Linked DNA regions of Caenorhabditis elegans. The protein of the gene in region 3 interacts with the protein of the main gene of each other region in a pairwise test. Each region holds a gene or a part of one and is shown on either strand. Other genes may lie near its edges. The genes, in order: dbd-8, T05F1.4, reps-1 and ain-2.

Region 1 (4,343 bases), on a different chromosome or scaffold from region 3:
AAAATAAGTTTTCGGCTTTCCACGTGTAGTACAAAATCAGGATTTTTACATGTCGATTTACAAAGCGTTTTGTACTACACACGGACAAGCGGGATTTTACAGTTTTTTAAAGCTGAAATCGCTGGTTTGAGACTATTTTTGCGGATTATTTTTGTATCTAACATTCAAACGTAACAAAATATTTCTTATTTTTTATGTTATTTTTTATTAATTTGTTGTTTTGCAACAATTAATTCATCGATTTTTACTTGAAACATATCCAATTTTAAAAATTGTCCATCGACATCGTGCCGTAGGATTGCAAAAATATAGAAGACATTTATTAAAATATATTTATAAAATGTGTAATATATTTCAGAGATCCAATCCGAATGCCTACTTTGCTGCTCGCAACCTTTCCTACACCAACTCGATGCTTCATTTCGCCATAATCGGAACGTTCACAATGACGAGTAAAGGATTATCGATTTTGACGAATGCTGGAGTTTTGCACATGTAAGCTTCTTTCTCTTAATATTTAAAATCATTTATTGTGATGGCACACTGTGCCACATTTTAGAATTGAATTTTTGAAATCTATTGCACGAATTCAGGAAAGTTGTAGATGAGGGAATGAGTGAGAAGAGAGAAAAATTATTATTATTGATGTGGTTTAAATTGCAATACATATGGATCACCCGTTGACACCTTATGGCTTCTGCGAGACGAAGAAGCATTGTTGAATGTGTGACAGTTTGACGAGACACTTGTACTTCTCGGTAAGAAGTCCGCCTTCTGGAAGACCGGCCGATGGGTTACAGTATGGACGGCAGTGCTCGTATCCTGGCTCGAAGACTCCGTAAGCCTCGCAACACTGGGATGCGTCTTGGTAGCCCGAAGCGCAGATCATCACGTCTCCGACCTTAGCCAATGGACAGCGTCCAGTGAGAACAGCGAGTTGCATCTGAAATGGAAAACAGTTCTAGATAGCAAAAAAATCATTATAGAGACATACAGTAGCAAGGGTAGCATCGTAGTTACAAAGTGGAGCACATCCCTCTCCGAGACGAGAACAGCAGTTGCGGAATCGATCATTGGCGGTGTCCTTAGTGATGCATGGCTGCCATCCTGGTTGGCGTGGACATTGGGCCTGAATGAACAAATATTAAGCTGATCACAATTGCGGAAATATTTTACCTGTGGTGGTGGAGCAAGTGGAGTTCCCTTTCCTGCATCGATATACTTCTCAAAGTTGACTGGTCTAGAGTCAACTGAAGCTGCAGCGGCTGGCTGTGGTAGTGGCTGCTGTGGACGTTGCTGCTGTACCTGTTGTTGTGGAGCAACTGGGAGTTGTGGTTGCTGCGGCTGTGGCAGATAGTTGTTCTGATTCTGGTACTGCTGTTGGTGTGGTTGTTGGGGCTGCTGTGGCTGCTGTCCGTATTGTTGCTGTTGATTGTATTGGTTTTGTTGTGGTGTCTGCTGCTGCTGCTGTTGGTTGTACTGCTGCTGTTGTGGTTGTTGGAACTGCTGATATGGTGGGTTGAACTGCTGATTGTATTGCTGATTGTACTGCTGCTGTTGTTGTGGAAGTTGCGGGATTTGTGGTTGCTGCGGTTGTTGTTGGTTATAATTTTGACTGTTGTAATTTCCCTGATGCTGTACCTGTCCGTATTGCTGCTGCTGGGTCTGAAGAGTGCTGATGCCTTGCTGGTTAACAGTCAATGGATTAGCGTTCAAGTTGAAAAGGTTGAATGGATCGAGTGCTGCATTTGGCTGCAAGAATTGTTGGAATGGATTGAAAGCTGCAGCCTGCGATTGTGATTGTGCTCCAGCGGCTCCAGCGGCTCCTGGAGCTCCGAATAGTCCTTGTCCTTGTTGTGGAGTCGGGAGTTGGAATGGATTCGGTTGGTTGAAAATATTATCAACTTGTTGCCCATATCCTTGCTGTGGCTGTTGGCCGAATGGAATTTGAGCGGCTTGTTGTGGGTACTGTACTTGCCCGGTTTGGTATTCTGGAAGTGGCTGTGCCAAATCGGCTGGTTGACGGCTCAAGTTTGGATCGAAAGATGCGACCTTTGGTGCCTCGACTAGTGGAGCAAGAGTGGCGGTTTGAATTTGAGCTGGAGCCTGTGCTTGTGGGTACGGGATCTGGTTTCCTTGATAGTTTGGAGCAGCGAATTGAACTGGCTGAGCATGTGGCTGCAGTGGGATGTTGAATTGTGGCTGTTGTTGTTGATGTTGAGCCTGAACCTGTTGCTGGAATTGTTGCTGGTGCTGAACCTAAATACTTTTTAATAAATTTTTTTTTCAATTCAAAATCCCACCTGTGGTCTCTGAACCTGTGGCCCTCCCTCGTTTGAGATCTGGCGAGTATTCACTGATTGTGCGAACTGTGGCTGATTATTGAACGCTGGTGGTGGCTGAGGTGGTCTCTGTACATTTACTTCCTGAAATGTCAGAATTCGAATTCAAGCAAAATGTAACCCAAAATCCCTACCTGAATAGATTGGTGCTGCTGTGTCTTGCATCCAGCACAAGCTGTTGGACACATTCTATCGATGAAGTCAACTGCACAATGAACACATTTGGCACGAGCACATGACGGAAGATCTGCCAATGTATACGTTGATAGAAGCAGCAAAATACAAATGGCACGTATCGTCGAAACCGACATTGCCATCGGTCTGAAACGTTTCAAAAAGTTGATTCGGTCAAAAGGGTCGAAGGGAAAATAAAGTGAAAAGAATTCAGAAGGAGGTGAAAGTTATTTGAAGGCGATTGAAACGGAGGAAATCTACATTGCGGTGTCTCTCCCGACACATCTACTCGATTCCCGGATAAATGGCTTTGGGAACGGAGCGCGCGGGTCCGGAGAAGAAGCGGCTGCGGAATGTTGAACAAACAGCGAACATTGTGGATTGGATAAAGATGAAGCGGTCGTCTATGTTTGCTTCACCATCTTGAGGTCGGCGACTAGCCTCTCCCCTCCTCACATACATAGAGATGCCTCGCCTCGTTCGCGATGACGCCGATCGCGTCGAATAACCGGCTTCTTATGGGCAAGCTTATTCTCTCTCTCTCTCCCTTCTTTTTCTTGCTTCTTCTCTTCTTGAGGTGCGCGCCCGACTGACCACCAGCTACGGACAGCTACAAGGCGAAACGGTGACGAAACACTTTTTAATTATCCGAGAGGAGATTTAGACGGATGATCGAAGGCTAGTATTGCGACATATTGGAGAACGGCAGGAAGGATTTATTTGGGAATTAGTCAGTTACTTTTGAATAAGAAAGAACATTCTACATGGAAGTGCTATTTAGTAGTAACAGCACAACTAGAAATTACAATACTGTTCTAGTATCTACAAAATTACATATGTATATTTTCTTATCACATTCTGCACGTCAAACGGAAGTTCAAAAAATTACCGAATCCGGAAAGGGGGGAAAAGAGATTGTAATAGGATATATTCGAATGGCATTGATAACCTGTTGAGGACTACGAGAAGCCCCCGCCGAAGGGAATCAAGGGAATCGAAGACAAAATAGAATCAATCGCCAAAAAAAGGAGAATAGGAGATGACCGAGCGAGAGAGAGAATAGCCAGAAACTCGTTCCGAGTCATCCAGATTGATTCTGATGCCTCCCTGATTGATCATTTTTGTGTGGTATGTATGGAATATAACGATATACTTGAAGATGTGTATACACAAACACGGAATATCTTGGAATCTAGAGGATTTATTAAGAAGGTGAATCTTGGTGAAGTTAAATTGGAGGTCTTAGCTGTCAGGGTTACTGTAGCTTGTTGGTTTTTCGAAATAGTTTTGTTGAGGCCTGCCAAAATTGAGATTTTTCATTTCAAAACATTTCAGGAAAATTCTGATTTTCGGTACTTCGAATGTATCGTTAGACATGATAGAAGCTCCAAATCCAGACATTCTCTAGTGTTTCTAACAATCTTTCCTGGTAAGATGAGATGAGAAAGAAATTGAGAAATTATAGATATCTAAAGATGCTAACTTTGTAATTTCTACTAAAAAATGAAGGAAAAATGTAGGTAACTAGATGTTCCTGCAATAAATGGCAAGAGGGGATCGGGAAGAAAACTATGGTATGACTCGGCTTTTTGCGCAATGTTATATGTCATTTAGCCGTGTGTGTGTGTGTGTCTTTTTGGATTGAAACACGCCTCCTTCTTTGCCTTTTCGTTTCTGCTTCTTCTTTTTTCGTCGTCGTCGTCGTCGTTGCCGCCAATTCATCGCATATGTTATTGTTGCATAATTCCAGAAATTAGAGATCTCTCCGTGAATCGGGATAGTCGGCGGGGAAAGCGTGAAGGCAACACACAAAAACCTGCCTTGGAG
Region 2 (3,417 bases), on a different chromosome or scaffold from region 3:
ACAATAACCCAGACGCGAACGTTTGTGTTTTTGCGCAATAAATACGGTACCCGGTCTCGACACGACATTTTTCTGTTATACAAACGGTTATGCACCTTTAAAGATTTAATTAAAGAGTACTGTAATTGCAAACTTTCGTGCTGTACTGTAGTTTTGCTCACGGTTTGTTAGAATGTATGAGTTCAAACTTGTTTTTTTTAAAGAAATAGACGGTTTCCGTACTTACATACCAACGAAGTTTTGAAATTACAGTACTCTTCAAAGGCGCACACCCGTTTTATCATACAAAAAAAAATCGTGTCGATACCGGGTACTGTATTTCTGGCGCTGAAATCGCAAAACTTCGTGTTTGGGTAAAACCATTTAGATGTTTCAAAAATAGTTTCATATGATCGCTCAAAATACAATACCCCAATGTAGACTCCGCCCATATCCAGACGAGAAATCGTGAAACTAAAGAATTGCAGAAGGAAATTTCAAAAACACGAATGAATCTTTGATGGGATTACAATGAACAAGAAGAAAAAACAATAAATTTCATTTATTGTGTTGAAAATCATGAAAATCCATATTGATTCTGAGAAAAAATAAAAATATTATAAAGATATAAAATAAAACTATCTGATAGTTTGAATACATAATGAGAAAATATCTCTAAAGCGACAATGTGACATGATTTGGTTGTATTATTAGGATTCGGCAGCTGGAGGGATGGATATTGGCTATCAGAAGTTACCAGTTCGGCTTGAGAAGTTCTTGTGGCTGAAAATTTAATTATTAGTTAATTTTCTATTTTTTTTTTGTCTTCTTACGCATGTTGTTTCCGTGTACTCTTTATATGCTTCTAGAAGAGCCTCGTGGTCCATTTTTGCCCTGCGTAACTGAAACTCGGCCCGTCGGATAGCTTCTTCGGCGTCAGCTGTAATTGGTAAAGCATTTTCAGTGCAAAATTCGTTGCTCATACCGATTCTTAATTTCCACGTTCTAGCTGCTTCTTTGTCTGTTGGTTTCAAAATAGTTCGTAAATCATTACGGCTTCCTCTTGTTGGCTCTTCTTCTTTCTCATGGTATCCATTCCGATCACTATCCCTTCCATCTCGTCTGAAAGATGGAGGGGAAAACCGGTTACGGCCTTGGTCTCGATCATTCGATGCTGAATATAGAACATTTAAGATTAATAATAATCGAATCAATAACTAACATAAAGCAGGACGTGCATCAAACGGATTATTACGGTATGTTTGAACTTGATTATGATTGGATGGACTTGGAGTACGACTATTCGGCCGATTTTGTTGGCGATAGTTGTTGAAACGATGTTCATGACGATCCTCGCTGTGATTTGATCTAAAATCCAGAAATTGATGGATAAAATTAATTTTATTAGTTTACCTTCTGTCTGGACTCAAGTGTCGATCTGATTGATTATCTCTAATATCATCACGGAATCCACCATTTCCACCACCTCGTCTTCCTCTTCCGCGTCTTTTTGAATAACCACCTCCGCGTGGAATGATGCCCCCGCCGGACATTTTTCTTGCTGAAAACAATTTTAGAATTTTTAAAAGCATGTTATTTAAACAAGAGGAAAAATAGTTGTTTTATACAAAGAATCGAATAAAACTGTTTATTTTATATTTTTTCGCTCAGAAAGCGGAATTTGTGGCTGTCGTTATTTCCGAACAATGTATTAAATGTTTTTTTTTTAAATTTTATTGATGGGCCTTTATTGATGGGAAGTAGAAATCAAAAGTTCGAATATTTCAAGCGATATTTTTTTTTATAATTCATGATGTTGAGTACACTCAAAATAAGAAAACTGCGTGGCGTGTACTGCAGAAAACCTCATATTTAGGCCCCGCCTTTTCTCCGTGAGTGGACAAGAAAAAGGCGGGGCCTAAATATGAGGTTTTCTGCAGTACACGCCACGCAGTTTTATTATTTTGAGTGTAGTTTTCCCGTTTCTCAATTATTAATTTAAAGAGCTCAATTGGGAATGCATTAAATTTCAGAGAAAACGAACTGTTTGAAATATTGTTAATTGTTTGAAACTAATGCTGCCAAATCAAGAAAATTGACAACGTTATTGGTACAGTTCATTTTTTCATTTCAGAATAAGCAACAAAAGGTGTTCATATGAATGTACTGTAGGTTAGTAAAACACTATGTTAGGTTACTCTTTGATGCAAAAAGGAATAGTTAAAAAGTTCTCAGAAGCTTTCGAATAAATTATAATAAATACGTTGCAGAAGTAACTGGGAAAGGAATGATGATCGTGATTTAAAAAAGATGGAAGAGCTTCAAAACAGGGGCTTAGAAAATGCAGTTCTATAATAATAAATTGGGAAGAGCTCAAAAATTCACAAAAAATGGTTAATGAATACGCATACAATGTCACCGCTTGTTGACCAGCACACTGAGCGGGTAAATTTTCGAGTAAGAGATCGACGATATTTCAGCGGATGGAGCACGGTAGGGAAAGTAGAATAGTTATTTAAAAAGTTGATATAAAAACGTAGTGTACAAAATGAGAAGGGAAATGGGGAAAGGGGGTGAGATGAGATGATATTCAATGACGCGTGCGGTGATGCAGACGGTATGGATCGAATTTTGGATGAGCATTTGGCTCAGGAGCTTTGCCAAGAATTATTGTCTGAAAAATGTATAACAATTAAACGACGAGGAAAACGGAATCTCACTTGGATAACCCATTCGGAAGTGACTCTACTTGCTCCAATAGTATCTGCATACTCCATGACTTCGTCACGGAAAGTTCCATCAACTAAAACAACGTCAAATTTGAGACCTGTTTCGTCAAGAGTTTCCCAGTCTCCGTCGACTACATCAGCACCGAGAAGCTCAAGAATAGGTTTCCAAATCTCGATGAAAGTTCCTCCGGGTCCAGTTTGTGTTACTTCACGAGCTGAGTGAGTTGAGTGTACATAAATTGTTGTTCCTTTCAAAAGCTCTGATGGATTTTTGGGCCTTAAATGTTTTCGATGATCAGAATTTTCAGAATCGTTATAAAAATCAAAAATCTAACGGAATTGAAATCATTCATCATGAAAGTTCACTTACGCTGGCATATCCTGAGACTCGTCAAAAATTGAAGCACCTGCAGGAAGAACATAGTCCGTATAGTCGACACATTTCCCCTGTTCACCACATGCTTGTAACCATGTATTGTTAACACAAGGAACACCACGAGCTAAAGCTGCCAAGTACTTGTGAGTACGATAGTACGTATCAGAAATCAGCAATGGTTCGTAGTTGGAGTAACGCTCTTGGAAGCTCTTAAAATAAAATGATTAGAATGTTATTTGTAAGACGTTATCTTACATTAAGCTGCTCCGTGACGATCCCACCATTCTGAGTAATGAAGTTCATCAGATTCTTCTTTTTGAACATTGAAGGAAC
Region 3 (6,998 bases):
GCCAAGTTGACGCCTGGATTAAGCCCCAGCGCCGCCGGATGTGGAGATCAAAAATCGATTGACGAATTCGGAGAAATGTGGAAAGCCTATAGAAATAGCGAGGAAACTGTCGAAAAAACGCGGGAATACGGTCGTCAGATGAAGAAATTACTCGGAATTCAACAATAATTTACTGTTTTTTTTTAGTTCTGCTAAGATTATTATACATTCGTCACGAATGTGTAATAATTTTTTTTCTCGAAAATTTTTTGTTTTTTTTTTGTTATTCTAGCAGTTTTTATAATAGATCCCTCAAATTCTGTCAAAATTTGGAATTTTTTCCAAATTTTTAGCCGGATCTGTAATAATTTTTTTGTCCGAATTTTTTAGATAGTTCCCATCTTTCATGTTATTTCATTTTTTTTTGGAAAAATTTATATATATATATTTTCCAATTTTAAAAAATAGTTATTTTTAATGTGTGTAAAAATCAATACATACTTTATGATTTTTTTTTTCAAAAAAAAAAAAGAAGATAGTGTAATAGATTAAATTATCACAGAAAATAGAAAAATTGATGCTTATTTTAAAAAATTACAACATAGGTAAAAATGAAATATATATATGACATATCACAGAAATTATGAAGAAATATGCAGATTTTTTAGTTTTTTGCGGGGAATCTGGGGGAGAAATTGGTGGGAAATTCGAATTTTTGATAGAAAATAATTAAAAACTTTTTTAGAAGTTAAATTTAATTTCGGGAAATACCTTTTTCTCAGAAATTTTTGAAAATTTGCTCTAAAATGGGCAAATTTCATGTTTTTTAATGCGAAAAACCAGAAAAATCAATAAATTTTCCATAGAAATCGATAAATTTTCAGAAAAATCGATAAATTTTCAGAAAAATCAATAAATTTTCAGAAAAATCGATAAATTTTCAGAAAAATCAATAAATTTTCAGAAAAATCAATAAATTTTCAGAAAAAATAATTTTCCATAGAAATTGATACATTTCGAATTTTTTTGTTATTTTCCTAACCAAACGTAATAAATCTTTAAAAATTCTATTTTTCCAGCTAAAAATTGAGTTTTTTCCAAAAAAAAAATTTTTTCCGGAAAATTCGAAATAAAATGTGTTATTTCCTAGTTTTTCAAGCCGAAAAAAATTATTTTTTTCCTATTTTTCCTCAAAAATTCGAATTTCCCATCCATTTTTCCTCCACCGGGGATATCATTAAAGTGTAGAAGAAGAGCACGCAGTTTTGGATCTCTCTTCAAATTCCTGAATTCGTATTTCCAATTGAATCCGTACTTGAGCCAACCGTGCTCTTTCGGCTTCTAATTCCGAATTTTGAGTCCTCAAAGCTGTACAACGTTCCTTCCATCGTTCAATTCCTTGCCCATCAGTTGCCTGAATCTCTTCTCCAATTAAATCGTCGATTTGATGGCCGATTTTCGAGAAAAAGCTCTTCACATCTTCCTCAGAATAGAGTAATTCTGTAGTTTGTGTTGATGAATCTGTTGTGGTAATTCGTTTTTCCTCTTCGATGACTCTCTGCAAAAATATTGTGAATTTTTGGAGATTTTTCAGTGAAAAATTTGAAAAATTTGAAGAAAAATGGTTAAAAATGAGTATTTTTGAATTTTGGCGCTGCTAAAACTACAAACTACAAGTAAATTTTTAGCAGCCCGCCCAAGAAATTAGCAGCGCCCAAGAAATTAGCAGCGCCCAAGAAATTAGCAGCGCCCAAAAAAATAGCAGCGCCCAAAAATTAGCAGCGCCCAAAAAAATAGCAGCGCACAAAAAAATAGCCAAAAATTGTTTAAAAATCATATTTTTGTGATTTTCAACCTGTTCAGAAAATAAAAACTACACTAATTTTCGATTTTATCGCAATTTTGAAAAGTTTTTCTTAAAAATTCGTTAAAACGAATAATTTCAAACTTTGGGCGCTGCTAAGACTACAAACTACAACTAAAAGCTTTCCCTTAACTTACCGGTAGAGGTGACGGTGTGATTCTTTGTGGAATCGGCGGTGGAATACTGTCCGGGGTGGCTGAAAATTTGCGGAAATTGGGAATATTTTGATTTTTTCTCGAAAATTGAAAGCAATATATTTTTTGAAAAATTCCAGTTTTTTTAAAATTTTTTTCGAATTTCTGCCCAATTTTTCAGTCTCATACCAGGAAAAGACGCAAAAGTAGTCGTAGTCGTTGTAGTACTAATCGATTGAGCTGTCGGATCGGAATGTGATGACCAAAGTGATAGGGTAGTTGGTGGTAGCTGGGATTCCGCCGAGGCTTTTGTCTTATTCAATGCAATCAATTTCAAGTCAAGACTTGCACTTCTGTTGTGTCCACGTTGTTGTTGTTGTGGGCGGACAGGTGGAATTGGTGGGGGTCCTGAAAATATGGATTATTGATTTCGGGCGCTGCTCTTAGATTGCAAATACTACTAAATATTGAGTGTTGCGTGTTTTAATGAACTTACTTAATACTTAATACTTATTAATACTTATTTAGGTAATTAAATAACTAAGTTACTAACTACATACTTACGTAGTTAGTAATTTAATTACTAAGTTACTAATTAAGTACTTATTTAGATGATGATTAAATAAGAAAATTAGTAGTTAAAAACTCACTCTGTTACTAATTAAATACCCACTTAGTTAGTAATTAAATACTCACTTAGTAGCAATTTAATACTTCCTTAGTTACAAATTAAATAACTACGTTACTGATTAAATACTCACTTTGTTACTAATTAACACTAACAGGGTTAGTAATTAAATACTTACTTAGTTATTTAATTACTAACTAAGTCACTAATTAAATACTTCCTGAGTTATAAATTAAATAACTATGTTACTAATTAAATACTCACTAAGTTAGTAATTAAATTCGTATTGAGTTAGTAATTTCATAACTAAGTTTCTAATTAACTACTTACCAAGTTATATAATTAGCAACTCAGTAAGTATTTTAATTACTAACTAAGTCACGAATTAAAAACGTACTTAAATAGTTATTAATTAAATAATTAGTTACTTAGTCAGTATATAAATAACTATGTTACTGATTAGAAAACTAGGTTTTCTAAAACATTTGAATCGAAAACTATTGTAGTTTTTGTAGTATGACTGCTATTCAACTAGCAATTTTTCGAATAAATTATTATTAGTCAATAATTTAAACTTTTTATATTGTGTTCACACATTTGAGAAGTATAATAAACACTACAACAATTTCTTCAATGAATCCAAACTTACCCAGTGGACTCTTAAGTGCTAACAATGCAGAATGCTTGATAGCTGTTGGCCTACTGTCCACTAATAATGGCGGTGTATCCGAGAATTGTTTGATGATTGGCTGGTTTGCCCACTGGAATTGGAAAAATTCGAAATTAAAAAAAAAACGTCGTTAATGTTTTGAATGATGATACATATTCAAAAGTCAATTAAATTATTTCAAAAACCCCCACATTTTTCACTGGCCCATCAGCTTCTACATGTCCTGCACCGGCGGGACTAGGCGTCGCCGCAACTGTAGACGGAGCCCGTGGCTCTGTAAGTGGTGGCCGCGCGAAACCGGGTAGCACATCAGGAATCGGAACTTCTCCTTTCACTTTCAACACTACTAAATGCATCGCAATCGAGAATTCGTTTAAATCCAACCATCCGTCTTCATTCACATCGGCCAGCGACCAGATTTTCGATAAAGAGCTCATATCCAGCGAGCTTCTCTTGAAAAACGCTACAATTCGTTGATCGGCTCCGCAAAGGGCTCCGCAGAGGTCTGCGGCGCCTTGAGTGGTTTTTATTAAGTGACGGAAGCATTTTGTGTAGTATTCCTGCTGTTTTTCAGTGATTTTGAAGAGAGAATCCGCGTTGGAATCGGCTGAAAATTGGGGAAATTTGGATTTTTTCGAGTTTTTTAGCTTTAAAACCGAAATAATTTCGATTTTTGCAATTTTCCCTGAGAAAATGTGCTTAAAAATAGAAAAAATCGATTTTGGCGCCGCTAAACGGAAAAGCAGCGTCCAAAATTGTGTAGTTTGTAGCTTTAGCAGCGCCCAAAATTGTGTAGTTTGTAGCTTTAGCAGCGCCCAAAATCTTGTAGTTTGTAGTTTAGCAGCGCCCAAAATTGAATTAGCAGCGCCCAAACTTGTAGTTTGTAGTTTAGCAGCGCCCAAAATTGTGTAGTTTGTAGTTTAGCAGCGCCCAAAATTGTGTAGTTTGTAGTTTAGCAGCGCCCAAAATTGTGTAGTTTGTAGTTTAGCAGCGCCCAAAATTGTGTAGTTTGTAGTTTAGCAGCGACCAATATCTTGTAGTTTGTAGTTTAGCAGCGCCCAAAATTGTGTAGTTTGTAGCTTTAGCAGCGCCCAAAATTGTGTAGTTTGTAGTTTAGCAGCGCCCAAAATCTTGTAGTTTGTAGTTTAGCAGCGCCCAAAATTGTGTAGTTTGTAGTTTAGCAGCGACCAATATCTTGTAGTTTGTAGTTTAGCAGCGCCCAAAATTGAATTAGCAGCGCCTAAAATTGTGTAGTTTGTAGTCTAAGCAGCGCCCAAAAAATTCACTCAAAAACCTTCAAAAGTGGTTTTTTTAAATTAGTTTCATCTGTTTTATAGCGGAAATCTCTTCAAAAATGCGAAAAAATTTGAGAAAAATCGAAAAAGGTTATATTTTCATTAAAACTACTCATTTTTGAGGATAATTTTGCACTTTTTCCTAATTTTTCTGGATTTTTCACCGTTTTTCAGCTTAATTTCCACGTTTTTGCATCAAATTTGCCGATTTCGAGCTGAAATTCTTTATTTTTCAAAATAATCACCTGGACTCGTGTGCTTCAGACGTCTCGGACTACTAATAATATCGGCAGCGACTTTTTCAAAGTCTCCATTCGAAAAATATTGCGATTTTTTGTCGTTTTCTGTCATGGAAATTGATTTTTTCGCGGAAAAGCAAATAAAATAGTTGGTGCACGAGAAATGCGCCAGCGCACTGGAGATGCGCAAAGGGGGTTGACTGGCGCGATTCTCGTGCCGGCAAATTTATTTTTTCGTTTTGAAACGATGTTTCAGCTGAAAAACTCAATTTTCACAGATTTTTTGGGTAAAAATCAGTTTTTTAAAGCAAAAATTAATTAAAAAAGCGTTAAAATCTCCTATTCATACACCTAAAACGCTGAAAAATATCCATTTCCTAGTTGTATAATTTGTTTTTCAGTTTTAAAGTGGTTTTTCATGGATTTCGGGGTTTTTACGGGTGAAAACTATCAAATATCGGCAAGATTCAACCGATTTTCGAGCTAAATCTGAAATTTTTGCGAAAAATAATGAAATTCAGCCGGAAAATCGTATTTTTAAGGTTTTTTTTGCCCCAAAATTCGATTTTAACAGCATAACAATTATTTTTTCCAGGTTCTGATGCCCCAATCGTCCGAAATCCCGCAGATTCCTGAAAAAGCCCGAAATCTCACAAAAAGAGAGCTGAAAACGCTGAAAAATGCGCTCGGGAAGCAAGGATTAACGATGGAACAGCACGAAAATGCTCAAAAATCCACAAAACCCTGCGAAATCCTTCAAATCGACACTTTTTCGATTGATAATTCGAATTTAGAAGACGGCTGGTACGTTGGATATGGCGTCGAGTACAATGGCGTCGGAATTTCGGCCGCCGGGGGGGCTCCAGACAGCTCGGCGAGCAGTGAATCCGGTGATCTACCGCCGGCTGAAAATCGAGAAGCCGGCGGCGGGGAAAGCAGCGGATTCGATTCGGATCCACCGACTGATGATGATGATGATGAAGCACCGCAAGAGCTGCTGGAACGGCGAGAAAGTGATGATATTAGTGATAAAGGACAGCTTTTGTATGGATTGGACAGTGAATTTTATGTTGATAAGGCGCTGAAACCCACAAATGTCGAATTTCACGATAAAAATGACACGAAAAGCTTCAAAACTGGCGAATTTGTGTAAGTTTCGAGGAATTGAGCCCCACGTGGAAACTACAAACTACAAGTTTTGGGCGCTGCTCAAGCGATTTCCGCTGAAAAATCATAAAAATTCCCAAATTTTAACGAATTAAACAGAAAATTCCGTCGAAAAATGCGAAAAAACCGGCAATTTTGGTTAATTTTGAGCGAAAATGTGATTTTGGGCGCTGCTAAACTACAAACTACAAGTTTTGGGCGCTGCTAATTCAATTTTGGGCGCTGCTTAGAATACAAACTACAAGTTTTGGGCGCTGCTTAGACTACAAACTACAAGTTTTGGGCGCTGCTAACACTACAAACTACAAATTTTGGGCGCTGCTTAGACTACAAACTACAAGTTTTGGGCGCTGCTAATTCAATTTTGGGCGCTGCTTAGACTACAAACTACAAGTTTTGGGCGCTGCTAAACTACAAACTACAACTTTTGGGCGCTGCTAATTCAATTTTACGCGCTGCTAAACTACAAACTACAAGTTTTGGGCGCTGCTAACACTACAAACTACAACTTTTGGGCGCTGCTAATTCAATTTTGGGCGCTGCTAAACTACAAACTACAACTTTTGGGCGCTGCTAATTCAATTTTACGCGCTGCTAAACTACAAACTACAAGTTTTGGGCGCTGCTAACACTACAAACTACAACTTTTGGGCGCTGCTAATTCAATTTTGGGCGCTGCTAAACTACAAACTACAACTTTTGGGCGCTGCTAATTCAATTTTGGGCGCTGCTTAGACTACAAACTACAAGTTTTGGGCGCTGCTTAGACTACAAATTACAAGTTTTGGGCGCTGCTAACACTACAAACTACAAATTTTGGGCGCTGCTAAACTACAAACTACAACTTTTGGGCGCTGCTTAGACTACAAACTACAAGTTTTGGGCGCTGCTAATTCAATTTTGGGCGCTGCTTAGACTACAAACTACAAGTTTTGGGCGCTGCTAACACTACAAACTACAACTTTTGGGCGCTGCTAATTCAATTTTGGGCGCTGCTTAGACTACAAACTACAAGTTTTGGG
Region 4 (7,926 bases), on a different chromosome or scaffold from region 3:
CTAACACATATTGATTTTAAAAAGTTAAATTATGAAAATAAATTGATGAATACGAGAAGAGTCATAAATAAAATAAAAACTAACAAGCAATGCAAATTTTGGCATAAAAATTCTAGACTTTTTCAAAAGAAGAAAATTAAATTTACAGCAGCAGAAAAGAACGAACTGAATAATTATATATTTGATTTCAGATTAAAAAAAAAGAATAAATCAGCATCTAACCAAGGAACGAATAATCATAATAATGATCAGGTGGTCCACCACCTCCACTACTATTAAAAGAGTCTCCACCAGCAGCACCACCTCCACCACTTCGTGAAGTACTTGGACCAGCTCCTCCATCGGATCCTGGCGGTGGTCCTCCTCTATGATTAAGATGATTGGTAGATGTATTTGCAGATGTAGATGTTTGTGGTTGTGGTGGAAGAAGCCCAGCTTCGATCAAAGCTTCGGTGATCTTTTTAGATAATTGTGTCACCTCGATCTTTGCAGTCACTACTCCGATTACTGCTTTGTCGTGATCGTTCTGTAATTTTTATTTTATTATTTTTATTCATTAAACTCTAATCTTTTAAAAAACTCTTTGTGATAACCCAGGTTCGGAAATTTACGATCTTTAGCTCTGAGATACTGTAGCAGGTCTCGAAACGATCGAAAATTATGCTGAATTCGTAGCAACTACAGTATTCTTTAATGGTACACACTTCTTTCCGTGAAAATTTTTCGATCGCTTCGAGACCTGGTACCGTACTTTTTCATCAAAAATGTTTACCTTTTGATCCTTGCTCATCCACGATTCTTTCTCCTCTTTGCTGGCTCCCTCGTCATAGTTCGAAGGGCGATTTTCTCCCTTAAAAAAGTAATTTAAAAATATGTTTCTTTTCATTCTAGTTTTTTTTAATTTTTAGCTCTTCACCACCATTCTATAGACACAGAATTTTGCGATTTTTTGAGAATAAATACAGTGCCCGGTCTCGACACGAAAAATGTGTGCTCAATGCAAAAGTATGTGCGCCTATAAATAGTACCGTGATTCAAAACCTTCTTTACTGCGGAATTTTCTTCGATTTTTCAATTAACTAAAAATCTTTCAAACTAACAAATCGTGAGAAAAACTGTGGAAAATTAATTCCAAATCCGCAGTAACGAAAATGTGAAACTACAGTACTCTTTAAAGGTGCACACCTTTGTGAATTTAACAAAATATGTAGTGGCGAGACCCGCAAAAATCGCAATATTTTGCGTCTGTGTAATATTATTATCCCAATAAAATACACACCAATTTTTTGAGCTCATCCTCATAGTCGTCCAAACGCGGAATGACCGCCAAAATTTCGGTGAGCAAGTCGAGCACGTTGGGCGGAATGTGCGGAAGTGAGAGTAGGGAAATATCCAAATGACCCTTCTGAACGGCTAATTTCAGATTTTCAGCCAGCTTCTTCTGGCTACCATCCTCGTCCAACAATGAAGATGAGGATGGTGGTCCGCCTCCAACATTTCCACTGCCGCTCATCATCAACATGCCAATTGGAATTGATGACGATGAAGCTGATGATCCGACACCCATTGTTGGATGTGGTGGTACCATTGAGGATCCTGCAAGAAAATATTCATTAAAAAATAATATTCATTAATAAAAAATTACGGGGAAACTAAAAGCTATAGTTTGGGGCGCCGCTCCAGTCCACTGTAAATCGACATGAGATCTCATGTCGATTTCCGGTGGACTACGCGCGATTTTACAGTTTCTGTTAAAATTTTGTATTCTGGACCGTTTCCCTCATTTCTTTCTGTATTTCCCACTTAAAAGGGAAACAGTAATTATGGGGTTTTCATAAATAAATTAATCGATTTTTACTTGAAATACTAGCTTTTTAGGTTAATACAGAAGGAAAACAGTCCAGGATCAAGAATTTAGCAGAAACTGGGAAATCGTGCAGACAAATAAATTCTGGGTTGTCGACATAAAAGACGCGCGGCAGGGTTGCAGTCGGAGCTCCGCCTCCTCTAACCATTCTATTCCTAAATTCTATTTTCTGGTACGAACCATCCATGACAGCAGCAGACCACAATGATCCACCATCAAGCACCCCATTATCACCATAACCTCCATAGTGTGGCTGATGTTGTTGTTGATGTTGTTGCTGTTGCATGTGTTGAGCAAAGAATGGATTACGTGTTTCACTATTTGATTGACCTCCTCCAACTGATGGACTATTCCACATTGAATTATCATTTGATTGATGATGAGATGGATGACGTCCACTTCCACCACCGCTTATACTTCCTTCATCCCAACCACGTGACGAGCTTTGATCGAATTCTGAATCTTTTGAAACTTTAGTACAATATTGCATTTTTTCTCGTTATAAATGCCAATCGTATAATGTTTCAATTTTGTTAAACATTTTTTGGATAAAAATGAAAAACTGTTTTTAAATAGTATTTGGCGGCAAAACCGTAAATTAAATCGTTTTCAATTATTTTCGCCAATTTTCAAACATTTTTCGTCCCTTTTGTTGAGTTTTTAATGGTTTTTACTAATTCTTACAATTTTCACCTTGAATTGATGCATAAAAAATACATGAAGATTTTTTTTTCATTTGTTTATGAATTTTATCATCAATTTCGATGTAAAAAAATATTTAAAAAAACGGAAAACGCAACAAAAAAATTGGTATAATTAATTTTAAACGAATAAATTAATGGTTTTACCACCAAATACGGAAGTAGGATTAAAAAGAAAAAACGAACCACTCTTGTCAGTACTAATTTCAGATGGAATATCACCCCATCCACTGGGAACAATGGGTCTTCGTCCAATCCTCATCATAGCATTCGCCTCTTCTTCGGCTTGTTGTTGAGCTTGTGCCACTATTTGTGGATTTTCAGATGTTAAACGTCGACGAAGAGCTTCTTCATTCAATGCTTTCTTTTTCAAATGACTTGGACATCGTTCCATTGCCGTTTCAAAGTCTTCTTCTTGGCCTTCTGGCACAATCCAACGGCGAATTGGTTTACTGTCTGGAAGCAAGAAGATTAAGAATTTAATATTCAGAATTTTCAGAAAACTTACTTGATACATCAGCATCACCCCATCCACTCAATCCCTTATCTCTCAACGATTTTTTCTTTTTCGCGTCTTCATCATTCTCATCAGTCCACATTGAATAATCATCCATTGATGATGATGAAACTCCGAATCCTCCATTCTGATTTCCACCTGGTCCGTGCTGTTCGTGTGGTCCTCCTTGTGATCCTCCACCACCTCCACCCATTGAGAATGGCGACGGAGCAAATGAGGGTTGTTGATGATGATGATTCGGTTGATTTCCACCATAAAATGGAGGCTGACCAGGTGGAACCATCATTGGTGGCATATTGAATCCCTGTTGAGGCTGTTGCTGCTGCTGCCTCTGTTGATTCCCTCGATAACCACCTTGACCTCCTTGCATTCGATTCCCGTATTGATTCTGATTATTTCCACGTTGTCCATATGGTGGCATATGAGATGGATGATGTCCTCCACCACCACCAGCTCCACCACCATATCCCGAAGGATCATAGAGATCGTCTTGTTGAGGTGGAGGTACAAATGGAGCAGGTTGATTCCATTGTTGGACTGGCGGTGGACCCATATCACCATATTGTCCAGGAATTCCTGATGGTGTCGATCCTAATGACATACCATCCATTCGCATATTAATATCCATCACATCAGGCATTCCACCCATTGGTGGTGGTGGAGGATATTGAGGCATAAATTGTCCTTGTTGTGGTCGGAATCCGTGTGGCATCATACGATTCATTCCACCTGAAAAATAGAAGTTTGAATTTTGAATCAATTTTTAAATCATTTTTTTAAATCTCAGTAATCGCTACAGGTGCCGAATTTTACAGACTTGCTGATTTGATGATATTGAAAATTAGTTTTCATATAATTTGAAATTCTAAATAGCAGCAAATTTATTTCTTTAATAATTTTAAAATAATTTCTTAAATAATTTCTAGTCACCCAAAAAACGAATCAAATCTTACCATGATGGGGATTCTGTTGTATTCTTTGATTGTGCATACCACCACCTCCACCACGTCGTCCTCCTCCGCCACCATTCATGTGATGTGGTCCTCCACGCCCAGGTCCTTGCCAACCGTCCCCGTTCATACCCGGATCCGCCTCGTATGGCTGAAAAATGTTATGAGTTTTATGGAACAGAATCCAATAAAAAATTGGTGCAAAGAAATTGACATTACTTCCGCGTCTAAGAGATTCGGAGCTTCAAGCAGAGAATCAAAAGAGCAAGAAACCAAAAGATATGATACTTCAAAACTTGGAAGGCCGATAAATCGAATTTTTTGAGCAAAGGTAGGGGTACGGTAATTTTCTGGAGCACTTAAAAAAACATAATATTTTAATTTTTAAGCTTTTCAGCCAATTTTTTTTCGGTTGGTTTTTTAGCCCTGAAGCTGAAAAGCAGGTGAAACCCAGAGTAACATCGTAAAACAGGCTTTCTCTAGTAGAAATCTTCTCGGAAAGGGATATATAGTTAAGGATAGAAATGGAAAATGTATACGAGAACGGGTCTCTCTGAGAATAGTCCGGTCTTGTACCACGGTTCGGACTATATATATACATTAAGCCAAGCGATACGAAGAAATGACGCTCTAATGATAAGTTGGAAAGTGCATAATTTAGATTATAAAACCTCGGAAATTCTACGAAAATCTTAGGTGGAGTAGTATCTGCGGAGTTTTTGTCCGAAATTACCGAATATGCGTGCTTAGATTTTTTTTGTTGCAATTTTGCAACAAAAAACGATCGTGTATTAATTGGTTGTTCTTTGTTATATCACTAATTTGAAACACCTTTCGCCACATTTTTAGATATCTAAACTTAATAACCCGGCAAAATTTCGCCGAAATTCTAAAATTGGCGGAAAAATCAATAATTTAATACTTTACAGAAAACAAATCTGAAAATGTGACGCATAATGCTTCAAATTGCGAAACAATGAAAAACTGTATGCCAAAATGGTGGAACCTATTGGTTATTCAAAATAATTTGGCCGTTTTTTAGTTGCAAAATAGAAAAAAATAGTTTTTTGAGTGGAGTTTTCGAATTCAAACAAAAACATCAACGAAAAATTTCGTAAATCCGAGAATTAAAAAAAATCAAATTCCAAAACTACAAGAGTCCCTGTCACTGATCGAGACGTGGAGGAATAAGAAACAAAGAGTGTCAGTGACACAGTACGCTAGAATACGCGACGCAGACAAAAAGTGGACCCCAAGTCGGAGGACACGGACGGAGGTCGACATGACCAATCGATAGAGAGTTCGTTGCGAGAGAGAAAGAAACACGAGACGCAGAGACATGAACAAGAAGACGGGCGGTGTAGTGGTGTGGCGGTGGCGGTTCCTGGGGTGGTTTCCAGCGAAAAAAAAAACGACGAAGGGCACCAAGACGCAGAGACATTGTGCATTAAATATACGTATATATGTACAATATGAAGAAAAAGGAGAAGCAAAGCGTGGAGAGTCTGCACAAAAAAACGTACATTTTTTATTCAAGGAGCGCCCGACAATATGGGCGCCCTCGTTTTCCCCTCCCTCCACAACGACACCTTCTAGGAGGACAATGTATGAGATAATGTAGATTTTTGAAGAGACGGCAGACATTATGAGATGAGAATTCTTGATATCGGAGATTGACCATGAAAAGTGCGGAGAACGGTCAGATGACGTCATCTTCTGGTTTTCTTAGTTATTTTTTATTAACTTGTGCCCAATCAACAGTTTCTTCATGTTAATGATGACTTTAAATTGATTTTTTTAAAATTTCACTCACAACATATTGTTGAGAGTAACTCGACGGAGATCGTGTATCAACGTGTAATTGGCGATAGGGAGGTTGCCGCCGATAATTCGGATCATTGCCTGAAAAATAATTATTGTTTAGAATTAATTGAGCGAAAATATATTGACGAAATACCTTGATATCCGTGCATTTCCACGCAAAACTCTTTTAAAATTTGTTTTTTTCGCGTCTTGCTGTGATTTTTCTGAAAATAAGATACGGAATGTTTAAAAATAATGTTTAAAATCAAAATTTTGATCGAAAATTCGGAAAAAAAATGCACAAAAACGAAGAAGAATGAGTGAAAATGATGAAATATGAATTTGATTTCGAATTTTCGCGGACAAGGGTTACTGTAGTTTTTAAAGGCGCATGCCTCGATTTGAAAAAGTTTACAGGCACAGAAATTTGCTTTTTGAGTGAAAACTTAATAAATATCAGTCCATTGTTTTGAAATCACCTAATTAAAATTGAAAATAAATATTTTGCACTATTTTTTCTATTTAAAATTTCAAAATTCTCCGAATATAAAATTTTAACACGACTACAGTAATCCTTCGCTTGAAATTATTGCGTATTTTGATGCAGAAACTATAATCCTGCTGTCGTAATAAGATGATTAGTTGAAAAGAGAGACGATGACAATCATATCATAATTGTAATCAATTATTTGCAAACACCAGCGCCAGTATATAAATTATTCGTTGAACACACATAATTCTTCCATTTTTCTCCATTTTTTTCTTTTTTTTAATAAAATAAATTATTTGAATGTTCAGAATGCCAATTGTAACTATGGAACGAGTCGATTCGTTCTCCGCAGCACATCGTCTTCACTCTGAAAAGCTGAGCGACGCTGAAAATAAGGAAACTTTTGGAAAATGCAATAATTCAAATGGTCATGGACATAATTATGTTTGGAAGGTTTAAAAATTTTATTTTTTAATAAAATAAAAATAATTTCGAAAAATTTCAGGTAAAGCTCCGCGGAGAAGTTGATCCGACGAGTGGAATGGTGTATGACCTGGCAAAGCTGAAAAAAGAAATGAGTTTAGTGCTGGATACGGTAGATCACAGGAATTTGGATAAAGACGTGGAATTTTTTAAGGTACTGTAGACAGATTATGCGTCATTAAAAATGCTATTCAAAGTGTGGGTCTTGGCACGAGCGAAACTTTTCAGCTACAGTACCATCTAGTATGGTTTAAATGTTTTTTGTTTAAAAGATTCGAGAATTTTGCTATTGAAAAAAATCTAAATTAAATTTTTTTTGTTATCATAAAAAATTTCGGAAGGACCCAAGACCGCAATTTCGCGTTTCAAAACCAAGATAAATACTTTTTTCCAATTTCAGACAACTGTGAGCACATCTGAAAACGTGGCAATTTATATGTTCGAGAAGCTGAAATCCGTAATGTCGAATCCATCGGTTTTGTATAAAGTGACAATTGAGGAGACACCCAAGAATATTTTCACTTATAAAGGATGTTAATTTCTGAAATAAATAGTTTTTGAATAAAACCATAAAACCAATTTTTCAAGCCTTTTAGCAATAGAGCGTGTTTCCAAAAAAAGTCTAGATTTAATCGGATTAATTGTTTCGAAACTGTCGACGACAAACGCCCGGAAAAAATAACTATATGTGTTGTTGTAACAGCAGATTCTGATCATCAACATTTACAAAAACCCTGTTTATTCCAATTCCACTGTCCTCTTTCCGCCGCCACACTACACTTCCCCTTTTCACTTCTTTTGCCGTCTTTTGCCCCACTATATTCCTCGGCTTTCTCCCCACTCATTATCTGTGTCTCTCGTGACTAGAGTGCTATTTCATACGCACCTTCCACACACACACACACACACAAGGAGCCAAATTTGCACAAGCTTTTTCGTCATTTTTTCGTCATTTTTTTCAAATGTGAATTTTTAGAAAACTTGAAAACTATAATTTTGTATTTTCACCTAAAATTACTGCAAACTCTTGTATTGAAAATTTGAAATTACACGTGGAATTAGTTTTTCAAATCCGAACTCTCATATTGATTGAAAAATGAATAAATTGAAAATTG

Evidence for each region.
Region 1: the proteins of reps-1 (region 3) and dbd-8 interact in a two-hybrid assay, tested with the Caenorhabditis elegans proteins (one large-scale study listed by BioGRID).
Region 2: the proteins of reps-1 (region 3) and T05F1.4 interact in a two-hybrid assay, tested with the Caenorhabditis elegans proteins (one large-scale study listed by BioGRID).
Region 4: the proteins of reps-1 (region 3) and ain-2 interact in a two-hybrid assay, tested with the Caenorhabditis elegans proteins (one large-scale study listed by BioGRID).

Annotation. Positions count from the first base shown.
Region 1 is NC_003280.10:13,106,339-13,110,681, reverse strand, and holds dbd-8 (DB domain-containing protein), read right to left. Parts: upstream 2,664-4,343; 5' UTR 2,660-2,663; coding exon 2,477-2,659; intron 2,427-2,476; coding exon 2,304-2,426; intron 2,260-2,303; coding exon 1,177-2,259; intron 1,130-1,176; coding exon 995-1,129; intron 944-994; coding exon 689-943; 3' UTR 513-688; downstream 1-512. Other genes in the region: rict-1 (RICTOR_N domain-containing protein), read left to right, coding at 359-495.
Region 2 is NC_003279.8:9,629,511-9,632,927, reverse strand, and holds T05F1.4 (NAM-associated domain-containing protein), read right to left. Parts: upstream 1,541-3,417; 5' UTR 1,533-1,540; coding exon 1,393-1,532; intron 1,348-1,392; coding exon 1,202-1,347; intron 1,154-1,201; coding exon 965-1,153; intron 920-964; coding exon 813-919; intron 763-812; coding exon 733-762; 3' UTR 527-732; downstream 1-526. Other genes in the region: Protein hsr-9, read right to left, coding at 2,570-2,653, 2,700-2,985, 3,079-3,293, 3,340-3,417.
Region 3 is NC_003283.11:18,985,448-18,992,445, forward strand, and holds reps-1 (REPS (RalBP1-associated Eps domain-containing protein) homolog), read right to left. Parts: upstream 5,054-6,998; 5' UTR 4,922-5,053; coding exon 4,816-4,921; intron 3,883-4,815; coding exon 3,467-3,882; intron 3,367-3,466; coding exon 3,255-3,366; intron 2,386-3,254; coding exon 2,167-2,385; intron 2,040-2,166; coding exon 1,981-2,039; intron 1,538-1,980; coding exon 1,217-1,537; 3' UTR 527-1,216; downstream 1-526. Other genes in the region: mrps-35 (Small ribosomal subunit protein mS35 mitochondrial conserved domain-containing protein), read left to right, coding at 1-168; Y39B6A.37 (Structural protein), read left to right, coding at 5,411-5,958.
Region 4 is NC_003279.8:4,651,609-4,659,534, reverse strand, and holds ain-2 (ALG-1), read right to left. Parts: upstream 6,009-7,926; coding exon 5,993-6,008; intron 5,938-5,992; coding exon 5,849-5,937; intron 4,193-5,848; exon of another isoform or gene 4,187-4,192; coding exon 4,039-4,186; intron 3,815-4,038; coding exon 3,077-3,814; intron 3,025-3,076; coding exon 2,755-3,024; intron 2,330-2,754; coding exon 2,048-2,329; intron 1,597-2,047; coding exon 1,280-1,596; intron 851-1,279; coding exon 773-850; intron 527-772; coding exon 218-526; downstream 1-217. Other genes in the region: ptps-1 (Putative 6-pyruvoyl tetrahydrobiopterin synthase), read left to right, coding at 6,629-6,781, 6,834-6,965, 7,212-7,349.